2 linked regions of the Oryctolagus cuniculus genome follow. The protein of the gene in region 2 interacts with the protein of the main gene of each other region in a pairwise test. Links are inferred from orthologs where the notes say so. Each region holds a gene or a part of one and is shown on either strand. Other genes may lie near its edges.

Region 1 (5,420 bases), on a different chromosome or scaffold from region 2:
ATGATGAGCCTGATAATTCAGGACAGACAAAGTGCAGGATTTATTAACTCAAGTTGGTAAAAAGTCAATATACAAAAGCCTGTTTACAAAGTTTAACATACACATAATTTGCTTTCCTTCCTTAGGAAGACTAAGACTAGCTACTTTATTTCATTTTACTTTATTTTGTGCTCATTTACTTTTGCATTTATTGTTTTTTAAAAATTTTTATTTTTATAAAATAAAATATAAATTTCATGTATTTCATATATACAGTTGTAAGAGTATAATGATACTTCTCACCCTACCTGCCCTCCCTCTGTGGCTTCCACCCTCCCTCCTCCTTCTTTTCTTATTTTTTTTTTAATTTTTATAATGACATACTTTCAATTTATAATCACAAGCTTTACCCTCCACTAAATAAAGAAGTCAACAAGTGGTAAGCAGAAAAACCACTGTTCCTCAGGAGTACCGAAGAGGGTTATAAACAATAATCATATCTGAAAATGTCGATTTCACTGATACACATTACATTTATTATATGTTCTGTATATTAGTTACCACAAATCAGAGACAACATGATATTTGTCTTTTTGGGACTGGCTTATTCATTAAGCATAATGCAGACCAGCTGTTTTAATAAGTATCTTTTCTCCCAAGCAAGAAAAACAAGTTCCTTTGACAACAAACCTTAACTACCAAAGCTCATCCCTATATTAATCTGCAAAGTAACTTGTATGAGAAAAAATTTAAAATTTTTAGCACTCCCTGCAACCTAATCTTGGGTACAATTCTAACCTTTCAATCCTGAGCAAGAAGTTGGAAATGGCTGATTTATAAAAGACACTGGTCTTTCTCTTACCCCTGCTGAATTTAAATGAGATCCCAATAAAGAATATCACATCTGCCATTCACTCAGGCACAAAACACCTTCCGGCAGCACACAAGATTCCCAGGACGAAGGCTAAAATTGCTGCGATCCTTTCTCTACTTCCATTATTTGTGAAGATATTCCTGGAGCCCTGAAAAAGCCACTGTGCCTAAGGTTTGGGGCTCAGCAAACTTCTTTTTCTATAATCCAATCTCAACGATGATTTCTGTTACCAATAGGAGTTTGGTAAGAAAGTTAAGAATTGAATGGTCCTGTATCCAATTGTTGTTAACAATTACCATAGATCCAGTTACTATATTAAGCATTTCACAGGCATTACACTTAGTTCTCACAACTATTTTTCAGTAAGGTGGATACAATTAATCCTATTTTGCAAATGAAGAAATTGAGACTTTAAATACTTTGTCCAAGAGAATATATACCATCTATCATACATAGTTAAAATCTGAATTCACTACAGAATTCATGTTCCTAATCATGTTATAATATTTAAAGAGATCAGACTTATCTGAATCTTGTTAGGTGTTTTTTATGGCTTCTAACAAAATTCATTATGTATATCTAAATTTTATTCTCTAGTAAACAGAAATAATGAAAACACATCACAGGGAAAACAGACAAAACCAAAACACTGAGTTACCTTGGTTTCTGGTGTAATTGCTGCCTCTAGCAATTTGGTTTTGGAACAATCAACAAAAGAAATCTTCAATCCAAATTCAACTGCCACCTGCCTGAAGTATCTGTTTGTACCTGCAGCAAGAGAATCAGATAAAATAAAGAGAACATTATATTAAGAAATGGCCATTCCTTATAAGTATAAGCACTTTAAAAATAAAAGAAACTCCAATTCATCAATAAAAATGCAATTGAAAGCATTTCTAGTTGGGTTAAATAATTTGGCTAGCCAATATATAAAAAATAATGATGCTTGACTTTAAAGGTTTAAGAGCCAACTAAAGCTCACTTAATATACACAAGTGGCATAAAGCAGAAAATACTTGGGTATATTTCTCACACAGTTCTCACAACTACTTCTCTAAAGCAGGTACAATTATCCCTATTTTGTAAATGAAAAAACAGACTTTGGTTAATAATTTGGCTGAGATAATATACCAACTATTAGAATTCACTCCACAATTCATGGACCTAACTAGCATGCAATATTTGAGAGATGCCAGACCTATTTTAATCTTGTTGATGTTTTCAGTGGCTTCTAATCATACTTCTCAAAATACTCAATTTCTACTCTTCAAACAGTAAGCAGTATACTCCCTGAAATATCAGATTTATTTTTTTTTAAAGATTTATTTATTTATTTGAAAGACAGAGTTACAGAGAGGCAGAGGCAGAGAGAGAGGGGTCTTTTATCTGCTGGTTCAGTTCCCAAATAGCCGAAATGGCTGGAGCTGGGCCGATCCAAAGCCAAGAACCAGTAGTCTCCCCTGGGTCTCCCACATGTGTGCAGGGGCCCAAGCACTTGGGCCATCTTCTACTGCTTTCCCAGGCCATAGCAGAAAGCTGGGCTGGAAGTGGAGCAGCCAGGACTCAAACACGCGCCCATTTGAGATGCCAGAGCCAAAGCACCGGCTCCAGAAACATTAGGTTTTTTTAACAATTACTTCCTGGTACTCAAATCTAAAATAACAATTGTTGCTGATACTTTGGTAATGGAAAAGAATTGGTTACTAGTCTTTGTACTTTCTCAGCATTGTTGTTGTGTAGTTCTGAAGCTTTAATATATGAAACAATGTAAATCAAACTACTACATTTTTATAGTGGAAAAAGATAAATCATTTCAACTTTGAATAATTTTTTTATAAACTCTTCAGGATTTGATTTTTACATATACAAATTAAAAGGCCAGGCAACTATTTCTAATAGTAAGCAAAGAAAGAAAGAAAGAAAGAAAGAAAGAAAGAAAGAAAGAAAGAAAGAAAGAAAGAAACTGTGATCAAAGATAAATTGGACTTTTGATTTTACATAGATTGACCCTCGGCAATGAAAGATTGAAAAAGAATATAGGCCGGCGCCGCGGCTCACTTGGGTAATCCTCCGCCTGCAGTGCGGGCACCCTGGGGTTCTAGTCCCAATTAGGGCGCTGGATTCTGTCCCAGCTGCTCCTCTTCCAGTCCAGCTCTCTGTTGTGGCCGGGGAAGGCAGTGGAGGATGGCCCAAGTGCTTGGCCCTGCACCCGCATGGGAGACCAGGAGGAAGCACCTGGCTCATGGCTTCGGATCAGCGCAGTGTGCCGGGAGTAGCAGCCATTTGGGGGGTGAAAAAACAGAAAGAAGACTTTTCTCTCTTTCTCTCTCTCTCTCACTGTCTAACTCTGCCTGTCCAAAAAGAAAAAGAAAAAGAAAGAAAGAAAAAGAATATAAAGAACTATCAAAACATCAACAACTGGGGCAAGCACTTGGCCTAGGGGTTAAGATGCCCACATCCCATATTGGAGTGTCTGGGTTCAAGTCCTGACTCTGACTCTTGATCCAGCTTCCCTAGAAAGCAACATGTGATGATGGCTCAACTAGTCAGGTCCCTGCCAACTATGTGGAAGGCCTGGATTGGATTCCCAGTTCCTGGCTTCAGCCTGGCCCAGCCCTAGCATTGTGGGCATCTGGGGAATGAGCGAGGGAATGGGAGTTCTCTCTACCTGTCCATCTGTTGTTCTCTCTCTCTCAAATAATTTTTTTTTTAAAAAATCAACAATTTCCTCTGCTTGCCATGAGGATTTTCCATTGCATTATAAAAGTGACTAATGGTTGGAGAGCTCTGTAATTTCAATTTTACAAGGATGTAAGATAAAATACAACACATTGTACAAATGTCTGTGGAACAAAATGCTTATTAAGTCCCTTCCTTTAAAGAATATACAGAGTATTTTGTTGAGATAGGAGATAGATAAAGTGATAATACTCTGTTAAGTCACCTTCTAATTATTTGGAAGCATTTAGAATTTATATATACATTTACAAAACCCTTTGCTATTGTTTTGAACACAAAAATCAGTCTTGTTTAAAGGTTGAGGTAAGCCTGTCTTCTCCCCCATTCCCTTTCCCCTCTTTATGTAGCTAACATGGTATGCAAATTCTTAAATTTGGATCCATGGGAGGGTTCTAAGGGAGACACCTAAAGTTGAAATGCTGAATACTCATGGTAATTTCAAGAACACTTTTTGGGGAAGGGGCTCACAGCTTTCAAAGATTTTAAAAAGGTTCTCTGAAACCAAAAGAAAAATAAAGAAGGGGCAAAGGAAAAGAATCCAGGTTATAATTTATCTTCCTTACAGTAAAATTTTAAGTTGGCTTTAGAACACTATTTAAACACTATCTTCTCTAGGGCAGAATACATCTGAAAGTCGATCAAGTCCTGTGTATTCATTCCAGTAGCATTAATACCATTCTTATTAAGCAGCGTTTCCCATAAGCAGTTCCAGAGCATGGACTCTAAGTGTTGATGCTCCTCATCTGCTAAGTCTGAGCCATCACAGAGGTGTCCAACACACCTTTAAAAGATAATAAATAGGGGTGAGCATTGGTTCAGTGGTTAAGACCGCTTGGGACGCCTGCATACCATATCAGAGTGCCTGGTTTGAGTCTTGGCTTGTCCACTTCTGATTCAGTTTCCCGATAATGTGCACCCTGGGAGACAGTACATGATGCTTCAAGTATTTGGATCCCTGCCACCCAGCTTCTGGCTTCAGCCTGGCACAGTCCTGGCTGTTATAGGCATTTGGAAAGTGAACCAGCAAATGGAAAATCTCAATCTCTCTGTCTCTCTGTCTCTATGTCTTTCAAATAAAATGAAAAAAGTCAAAAATAAATAATAACAACAAATAATCAGTAATCAATAATGCCAGCAATATTGTTAGTATAATTTAGCGTCCATTTTGTTATATTTAAAATAGTAGTTGACACAATATAAATGAGAGGAGTCACTTACCTCCATACACATCATCCATACAAATAATTTGGTCTCCTGCTTTTAAAAGATGAGTAATAGTCACAGTGGCTGCTAAACCCGAAGCAAAGGCCAAGCCTAAAATAAAACCAAATTAGAGTAAGCCAGAAGTCAGACCTAAAGATGAAGAAATACCTATAGTACCTATTGCATTGCTTTATGTCCCTCTCTATGCTAGAACAGACAACCCCACTGAGTTACCAGAGATCCCTTGATTTATAGAATCATAAAATCTCCCTTTCTGTTTCAAGAATAAAATATCTTTAAAATAATGAAGGCCCATAAACTTTTGTTACATCAGTTCCACCTTGATTACATTTCTCCGAAGCACTTCAAGGAAATAATTCTTCACAAAAATGAGAGGTTAAAGGCCTTCTACCAATTAAATTGCAATTCAAAAATAACAAATTGAAGAAATTTGTGGGGAGGGGGTGGCACTGTGGTGAAGAGGGTAAAGCCAAGCCTGCAGTGCCAGATCCCATATGGGCACCAGTTCAAGTCCAGGCTGCTCCACTTCCAATGCAGCTCTCTCTGCTATGGCCTGGGAAAATAGAAGAAGATGGCCCAAGTCCTTGGGCCCTAGGAAACCTGG
Region 2 (6,668 bases):
CTGCTAGTTCATTCCCCACATGGCTGTAACTGCCAAGGCTGAGCCCATTCCCCACATGGCTGTAACTGCCAAGGCTGAGCCGGGCTGGAGCCAGGAGCCAGGAGCCAGGAGCTTCATCCAGATCTCCTACATCTGTGCAGGTGCCTGAGGACTTGGGCCATCCTCTGCTGCTTTCCCAGGTGCATTAGTAGGGAGCTGGATCAGAAGCGGAGCAGCCAGGAAAGGAACCAGCAAGCATAAGGGATGCCCGTTTCCCAGGCGGCAGCTTAACCCACTACGCCACACTGCCAGCACCCAGCAAGGCTCCCTTTAAACCAGGCTGGTCTGGAGTTGGTATTATGCAAAATAGAACAATTAACAGGGAGAGTCAGGAGGGGTGGAGGTTTGAAAGTGTCCCACAGAAGCTCACGTGCTGAAAACTTAATCCCCACCATCAAATGGGAATGATACTTGGGAGGTAATCAGGATTCAGTGAGGTCACGAGGGCGGGACTCCGTGATGACATTGTGGCTTAAGACGGCGGCTCAGCTAGCACAGCTGGCTCTGGCTCACCCGCTGATACTCTCCTGTGTGATGCAGCAGGGAAGCCCTCGCCAGACACACAGTGGACTGCCCAGAACAGTGAGCTAAATATATCTATCTACATGCTGATTCACTCCCCCAGATGGCTGCAATGGCCAGGGCTGGGCGAGGCTGAAGCTAGGAGCCAGGTGCCTCTCCTGGGCCAGGCCAAAGTCAGGAGCTTCATCTGGGCCTTCCACATGGGTGGCAGGGACCCATGCACTTGGGCCATCTTCCCCTGCTTTCCCAGGCGCATTAGCAGGGAGCTAGATTAGAAGTGGAGCAGCTGGGACTCAAACTGGAGCTCAATGTGGGATGCTGGTATTGCAGGTGGTGGCTTTACCTGCCATGCCACAACACCGGCCCCTACTTGCTTGCTTTATAAACAGCCCAGTCTCAGACACTCAGTGATAGCCATAGAGAATGGACTAGGACAGGTTAGGATACCAAAGTTTCAATATAGGTTAACAGCTTCCTACCCTTTTTAACCAGATATGTAAGGGCAAGAAGTTCATGGGGGAAAAAAATGGAATGAAAAGCTAAGCTTGCTTTGGTACAAAATACTTTGAAAAAATGCATAGTTTTTCATGACCTCTTTGAAGACTCCTTGTATGCATGGATTTCAAATGTTTTGTACCAAGATAAACTTACCTTTCACTTCATTTTTCTATGGACTTTTTAAGAAAAAGATTTATTGGGGCTGGCATTGTGGTCACCACTTTGGGTGACAGTTCACATCCCAGCTACGCCACTTCCAATCCGGTTCCCTACTGATGTGCCTGGAAAGGCAGCAGAAGATGGCCCAAGTGCTTTGACCCCTGCACCCACATGGGAGATCCAGAAGAAGCTCCTGGCTTCGGCCTGGCCCAGCCCTGGCTATTGTGGCCATTTGGAGAATGAAACAGCAGATGGTAGCTCTTTCTATGCCAACCCCTGTCTCTGTCATACTGCCTTAAAAGAAAATGTATATATTTGAAAGGGAGAGTGAGAGAGAGAGAGAGCTTCCATCCAGTGGTTCACTCCCTAAATGGCTTCAGTGACCCAGGCTGGGCCAGACTGAAGCCAGGAGCCAGGAGCTTCCTCCAGGTCTCCCATGTGGGTGGCAGGGAACCAAGCACTTGGGCCACCTTCCGCCGCTCTCCCAGGAGTATCAGCAGCCCATATTGGATGACCCAGTGGTTGAAGACCTTCCTGTCTCTCTTCTGTCTCTAAATCTGCCTCTCAAATAAATATATAAAACTTAAACGACTAGACTGAGCTCCCAGGACCATCTGCCTGCAGCCCATCCATCCCATCCAGGCTTTGCACAAGCAGCAAGGCCTGAACAGGAAGCACAAGGGCCTGGACGTGACAAAGGCAGATTACAAACTGGCTATGGCAACGAAAGGGACCCCAGTTCCCATGTGGTCGCGCTGGGGACTTGGGAAGGAGACGGGGATTCTGCAGGCCATTTTGTGCAGTGAGAATATTTATTGAGAATGGCTCATTACAAACAAAATATATTTATGTATAAAATCTCTGCAATGCAAAAGATCCCTTTCGTCCCCCTGTGGCTAGAAAGCCGCTGTCCTGTGTAGCTTTGGAGGTCGTGCTGGGACCCCCGGGTGGATCAGTGGTGGGTGCTGTGTGCCGTGGGCCAAAGCCCCTGCCGTCCAGGCTGTTTCTCCAGCCCATTTTCATGACGCGGTGTTGGGGACTCAGCCCAGGGAGATGAGTCTTGTGGACGGCCAGGCATCTCCTAGCGTGCACTGAGAAGCCATCCTCCAGGCTCAGGGCTGACATGCTAAGTGCCTGTGACCAGTGTCCGTGGAGGCCGCTCCCTGGGACAGCCCCACCAGCTCTCTGCCCTATGCCTCGTTCGCACCTGGCTGGCCTGAGTTTCGTGTCCTCCTGTTGGTTCTCTTCATTCAGCTCTGCTTGCCATTCGACCCAGACCTCTCCTGAGGACGCCCACGCCCCACAGCAGATGTGTGTGGGACTCTCAGGCTCGTAGCCAGAGATCCCTGGCACCCTGGGCCACCTGGTGTATTAAGGCAACAAAAATGAGACCAGTCTGAAGCCAACGTGAGTCTCAGAAACACAGGGTGGCTGCCCAGCCAGCAAAGGCTGTTGCCAAGGAGTTAATAGGGCTGGGGGGTGGGGGGTGGGGGGGCTCACAGCCCTGGCAGGCAGAGCCTCTCACTGCCCGAGAACCACCGTGATGGCCAGCGGGCAGCCGTGACCACATCATGCCTCCAGCACCGAAAGACCAAGACCCGGGGTGCAGACAGATACTTCCTCCTCCCAAAGGTGAGACCTCCTCTCTTTGAAAACAGACCTGGACTGGCTGACCCCGTCCCGTGAGAGAGGTGCTAGGGGCTCCAAAGTACCTGCAATCTCACTATTATTATCTTACGTGAAAGCGATTTCTCACCCTCTGAAAGCAAAAACTTATATCTAAAAAAAAAAAACAACAATACACACACACACACAAACCCCAAACCAAAAGAAAAAAAAAAAAAGGAAGGAAACAGCTCCAGTTGTGGTACTTGCTGCGCTGTGTGATGACAGACCCAGCACTCCATGCAGAGTCCTGGCATCAGTGGCAATGGCAGCGGGGAAGCCAAGGGCTGCCCCTGCTGCTGCCGCAGGAGTGCAGGCCTAGCACCCTGCACCCAGAAGATGGGTCCTGCCGCCGGCATCCTGGCTGGTGTCAGGAGGCCCCCTGAGCCCTAAGCACACTCTGTGTCGCCGGCCATCGGGCCCCCGCCAAGAGGACCCTCTACTGGATAGGGCTGGACTCCTTAGAGGGCTGCAGGAGGCCTCCAAGCCCCCAGGCACCGGGGCTCTGCAGGGTGGGGTGGCTGTGAGATGTGTCTACACTGTGGCAGAGGCTAGGCGACCTGGCAACCAGCCACGGTGATCGGGCCTAGAAGGGGGTGGGATGAGGCGGTGATGGCACGCACCGTAGGGCACGTGGGGTCTGCAGCACCTCCGGGCGCCTGGAGCCAGAGGCTGGCTGTGCTCCCCAACCCCAGAGGTGCTGTCCTGATAATCAGCACCAGCCACATGGTCTCTCTCTCCAGGGCTTGGTCCCAAGGTCTGTGGGGAGTGGGAGTCCGATTCAGGCCTCTTCCCCTTGCCTGGGGTCCCACTCAAAGTCAACAAGGATGCTCTTGGGGCTGGACTTCCGTTGGGCACCGCTGGAGTCAGGCTTGGAGTTCCGGGGTGTGGCTCACCTTGGAAGCAGGTGCTTCGGGTAGTGGCATGACAACACACAATGCTGGCAGATGAGGCAGCTGTGCTGGTCTCCCAGAGTTCCCTGGGGCTTTGTCAGCTCCTGAGTGGGCCTTGCTGGGGGCAGAGGGGGCGGGATCCAAGAGCCTGGGCACACCAGGCTCCTGCTGTCAGCTGTCCAGATAGACAAAGAGGATGTCCTCATCTGTGCCGTAGCTGGTTCTGGCCTCTTCAAAATTACTGATGCTGGTGCTGCACATTCCTGCGGCGTGGGGGTTTGTGGGGAGGGTAGAGAGGGCTCAATGGGTAGGGACACAGCACCTGCCCCACCAGCACCCAAGGGAGCCAGGCAAGACCCGACCACAGCCCACTTGGCTGGCCACTCCTCTTGGCTCAAGTCCTGCACCCCCAAGAAGCTATCCTTGCCTATTCCAGCTCTTTCTCTGGCCCCTCCCCAGGTTAGTAGATGGACAAGTAAGGCCCGGGGTGGGGGGGGGGCAATGTGCTCCATGCAACATGGACACACGGGTGGGTCTGTGGGAATCAGGGAGGGCCTTCCCCAAGCCCTGAGGGCAGTGGGCAGGCCCAGGTGGAGCAGGGGCCATGTCTGGCCAGACTGTCTGTCTGTGGCATGTGCTGCTGGCTGTCCTGAGAGGAATCGGGGTTGGGCGCTTAGGTGGCGAGGCAGGGCCCTGGGCGGTAGCACGGGGTTGGTGGGAGGGCGGGGTGGCCCTGAGGAGCAGGGGTTTTGGGATGAGGTGAAGGGGTGGGAGGGGAGGGAGTCCTGGGGGCCCAGCACTCACGGTCGGCGTAGGCTGGGTTGTTGTAGAAGATGCAGCTGGTGGCCCGGCTGTAGCCGCGCAGCACGATGAAGTGGCCCTGGTAGTCGGGGGTGCGGCAGAAGCAGCGGTGGCCGCTGGGGGCGAAGCAGCAGTACTTGACGGGGCTGGAGCACAGGTCGCAGTGCAGCACCCCCGAGTTCACCAGCACGATGGCCACGTGGCCCTGGGCCAGGTGTGCCTGGATATCCTGAATGCTCACAGCACTGGGGGCGCGAGGGAGGGAGGGAGGGGTCAGGTTTATCCCTGCTTCTGTCTCTGTTCCCCTGGGCCCCCAGTTCCTCTGCCCTCTGCCCTGAGCTCCTTGCAGGTGGAAGAGCCCTTGTGTAGTCACTGCGCAGGCTCAGTGTGGGGTGGGAGGGGACAGTTCCCAGCGTGCACCAGACGAGCTGGCACCATCAGTAGAGACAAGCAGGAAATGGGCCACTAGAGCAACACTTGGAACCTCACTCCCAGCCTGGGTAATGAATTCTTTCTGCCAAGCCCGTTTGTTCTTTATCCTCCATCAAGTGTGGTTTATGCTGGAAGCCGCGGGCCCAGTTCAGTTCCCCAAATCCGAGCCAAGCTGGGCTGAGCCAGTTTGTTAACCAAACGCTTCTGTGAAAGGGCTCTTTCTCCTTTCTAAGGTTTCTTGTGGCAGGAGGAGCAGCTCCAGGGGAAATACACACACACCCCACCCAGTTCTGCAGACACAGCTGTCTGGAGCCGCCCCGAGGGGCACACCCCAGGCACCTCTCCAAATAAGCACCTAGAGGGACCCAACAGTAGGGCTGCTCTGCTCTTTACGTGGGCTCCTTCATCAGTCTCCTGAGGAGTGGCAGCGCCGGCACCACAGGGCCTGGCCTGACTCCAGCCACGGCCGAGTCACACAGCAATCTGGTTTGCAGCCTGGGCCGGGGAAACACGCCACGCCATGTTTCCATTTGGTTTTGTTTTGTGTTTTTTTTTTTTTTTTTTTTTTTGACAGGCAGAGTGGACAGTGAGAGAGAGAGACAGAGAGAAAGGTCTTCCTTTGCCGTTGGTTCACCCTCCAATGGCCGCTGCGGCCGGCGTGCTGTGGCCAGTGCACCACGCTGATCTGATGGCAGGAGCCAGGTACTTATCCTGGTCTCCCATGGGGTGCAGGGCCCAAGCACTTGGGCCATCCTCCACTGCACTCCCTGGCCACAGCAGAGAGCTGGCCTGGAAGAGGGGCAACCAGGACAGAATCCGGCACCCCAACTGGGACTAGAACCCGGTGTGCTGGCGCTGCAAGGCGGAGGATTAGCCTAGTGAGCCACAGTGCCGGCCCTCCATTTGGTCTTTGCAACACAAGAGCCTGGCCCAGTTCTCGACCATGTGTACGAGAGGGGAGTGCAGCTTCAGGGAAAACGCAGGGTCAGGCTGGGCAGACACGGTATAGCTTCACAGAACAAGCGTGGCTCAATGCCAGGGAGGCCGTGGGCCGTAGCAGGCCAGCAAAATCATTTGGTCTGGCCTTGCCAAGGCAACCACAGCTGGGACTCAGAATTCAATAGCTCTACAGCAGGCTAGTTTTTAGGCTGGTAATTTTGTATGACCCGCGGACGATGCTGTACCTATCCAAAAGGCCCTTGACAGGAAGAAAGCTTCCCCACCCCTGGTCTCAGAACTGAGTGGAGATTTTTTTTCCCTGCTTTCCAAATCACCTATCTTGCAGGTCATTATTTTGTTAATAATGAAAGTGCGAATCAGTAAAGAAAGGAGGAATTCCCAAGAGTGACCCCGGGAGCTGATCTGGGACCAGACGCAGCCGGCCTGAGCACGGCCACCACCCACCATGAGCTCAGAGAAGACCCCACTCACATCTGGGCCAGTTGCTGCCATGGTCCCTCTGAATCCAGCCCCCTGGGTGTATATGGATGAGAAGGGGGAGGAGCCTGTGAGGCCACAACAGCCCAGGGAGAGACTGGCTGCAGCCTGTCCTCGCAGCATCTGCTCAGGATCCACCCCAGGCCAGGGCCTGGGCCATGGAGCCCCACTGATCCCCGTTTCATGGATGGGAAAGCCAAGGTTCACGGACCACGTGGAGAG

What was found.
Region 1: the proteins of GUCD1 (region 2) and CTH interact in binary tests that used the Homo sapiens proteins (3 or more experiments, as listed by UniProt). The two-hybrid records come from large-scale screens. The link is inferred for Oryctolagus cuniculus from reciprocal best matches to the Homo sapiens genes GUCD1 and CTH.

Annotation. Positions count from the first base shown.
Region 1 is NC_091438.1:101,935,685-101,941,104, forward strand, and holds part of CTH (cystathionine gamma-lyase), read right to left. Parts: intron 4,907-5,420; coding exon 4,811-4,906; intron 1,622-4,810; coding exon 1,512-1,621; intron 1-1,511. UniProt on the Homo sapiens protein: Catalyzes the last step in the trans-sulfuration pathway from L-methionine to L-cysteine in a pyridoxal-5'-phosphate (PLP)-dependent manner, which consists on cleaving the L,L-cystathionine molecule into L-cysteine, ammonia and 2-oxobutanoate.
Region 2 is NC_091452.1:31,123,485-31,130,152, reverse strand, and holds the end of GUCD1 (protein GUCD1), read right to left. Parts: intron 4,823-6,668; coding exon 4,581-4,822; intron 4,040-4,580; coding exon 3,948-4,039; 3' UTR 2,012-3,947; downstream 1-2,011.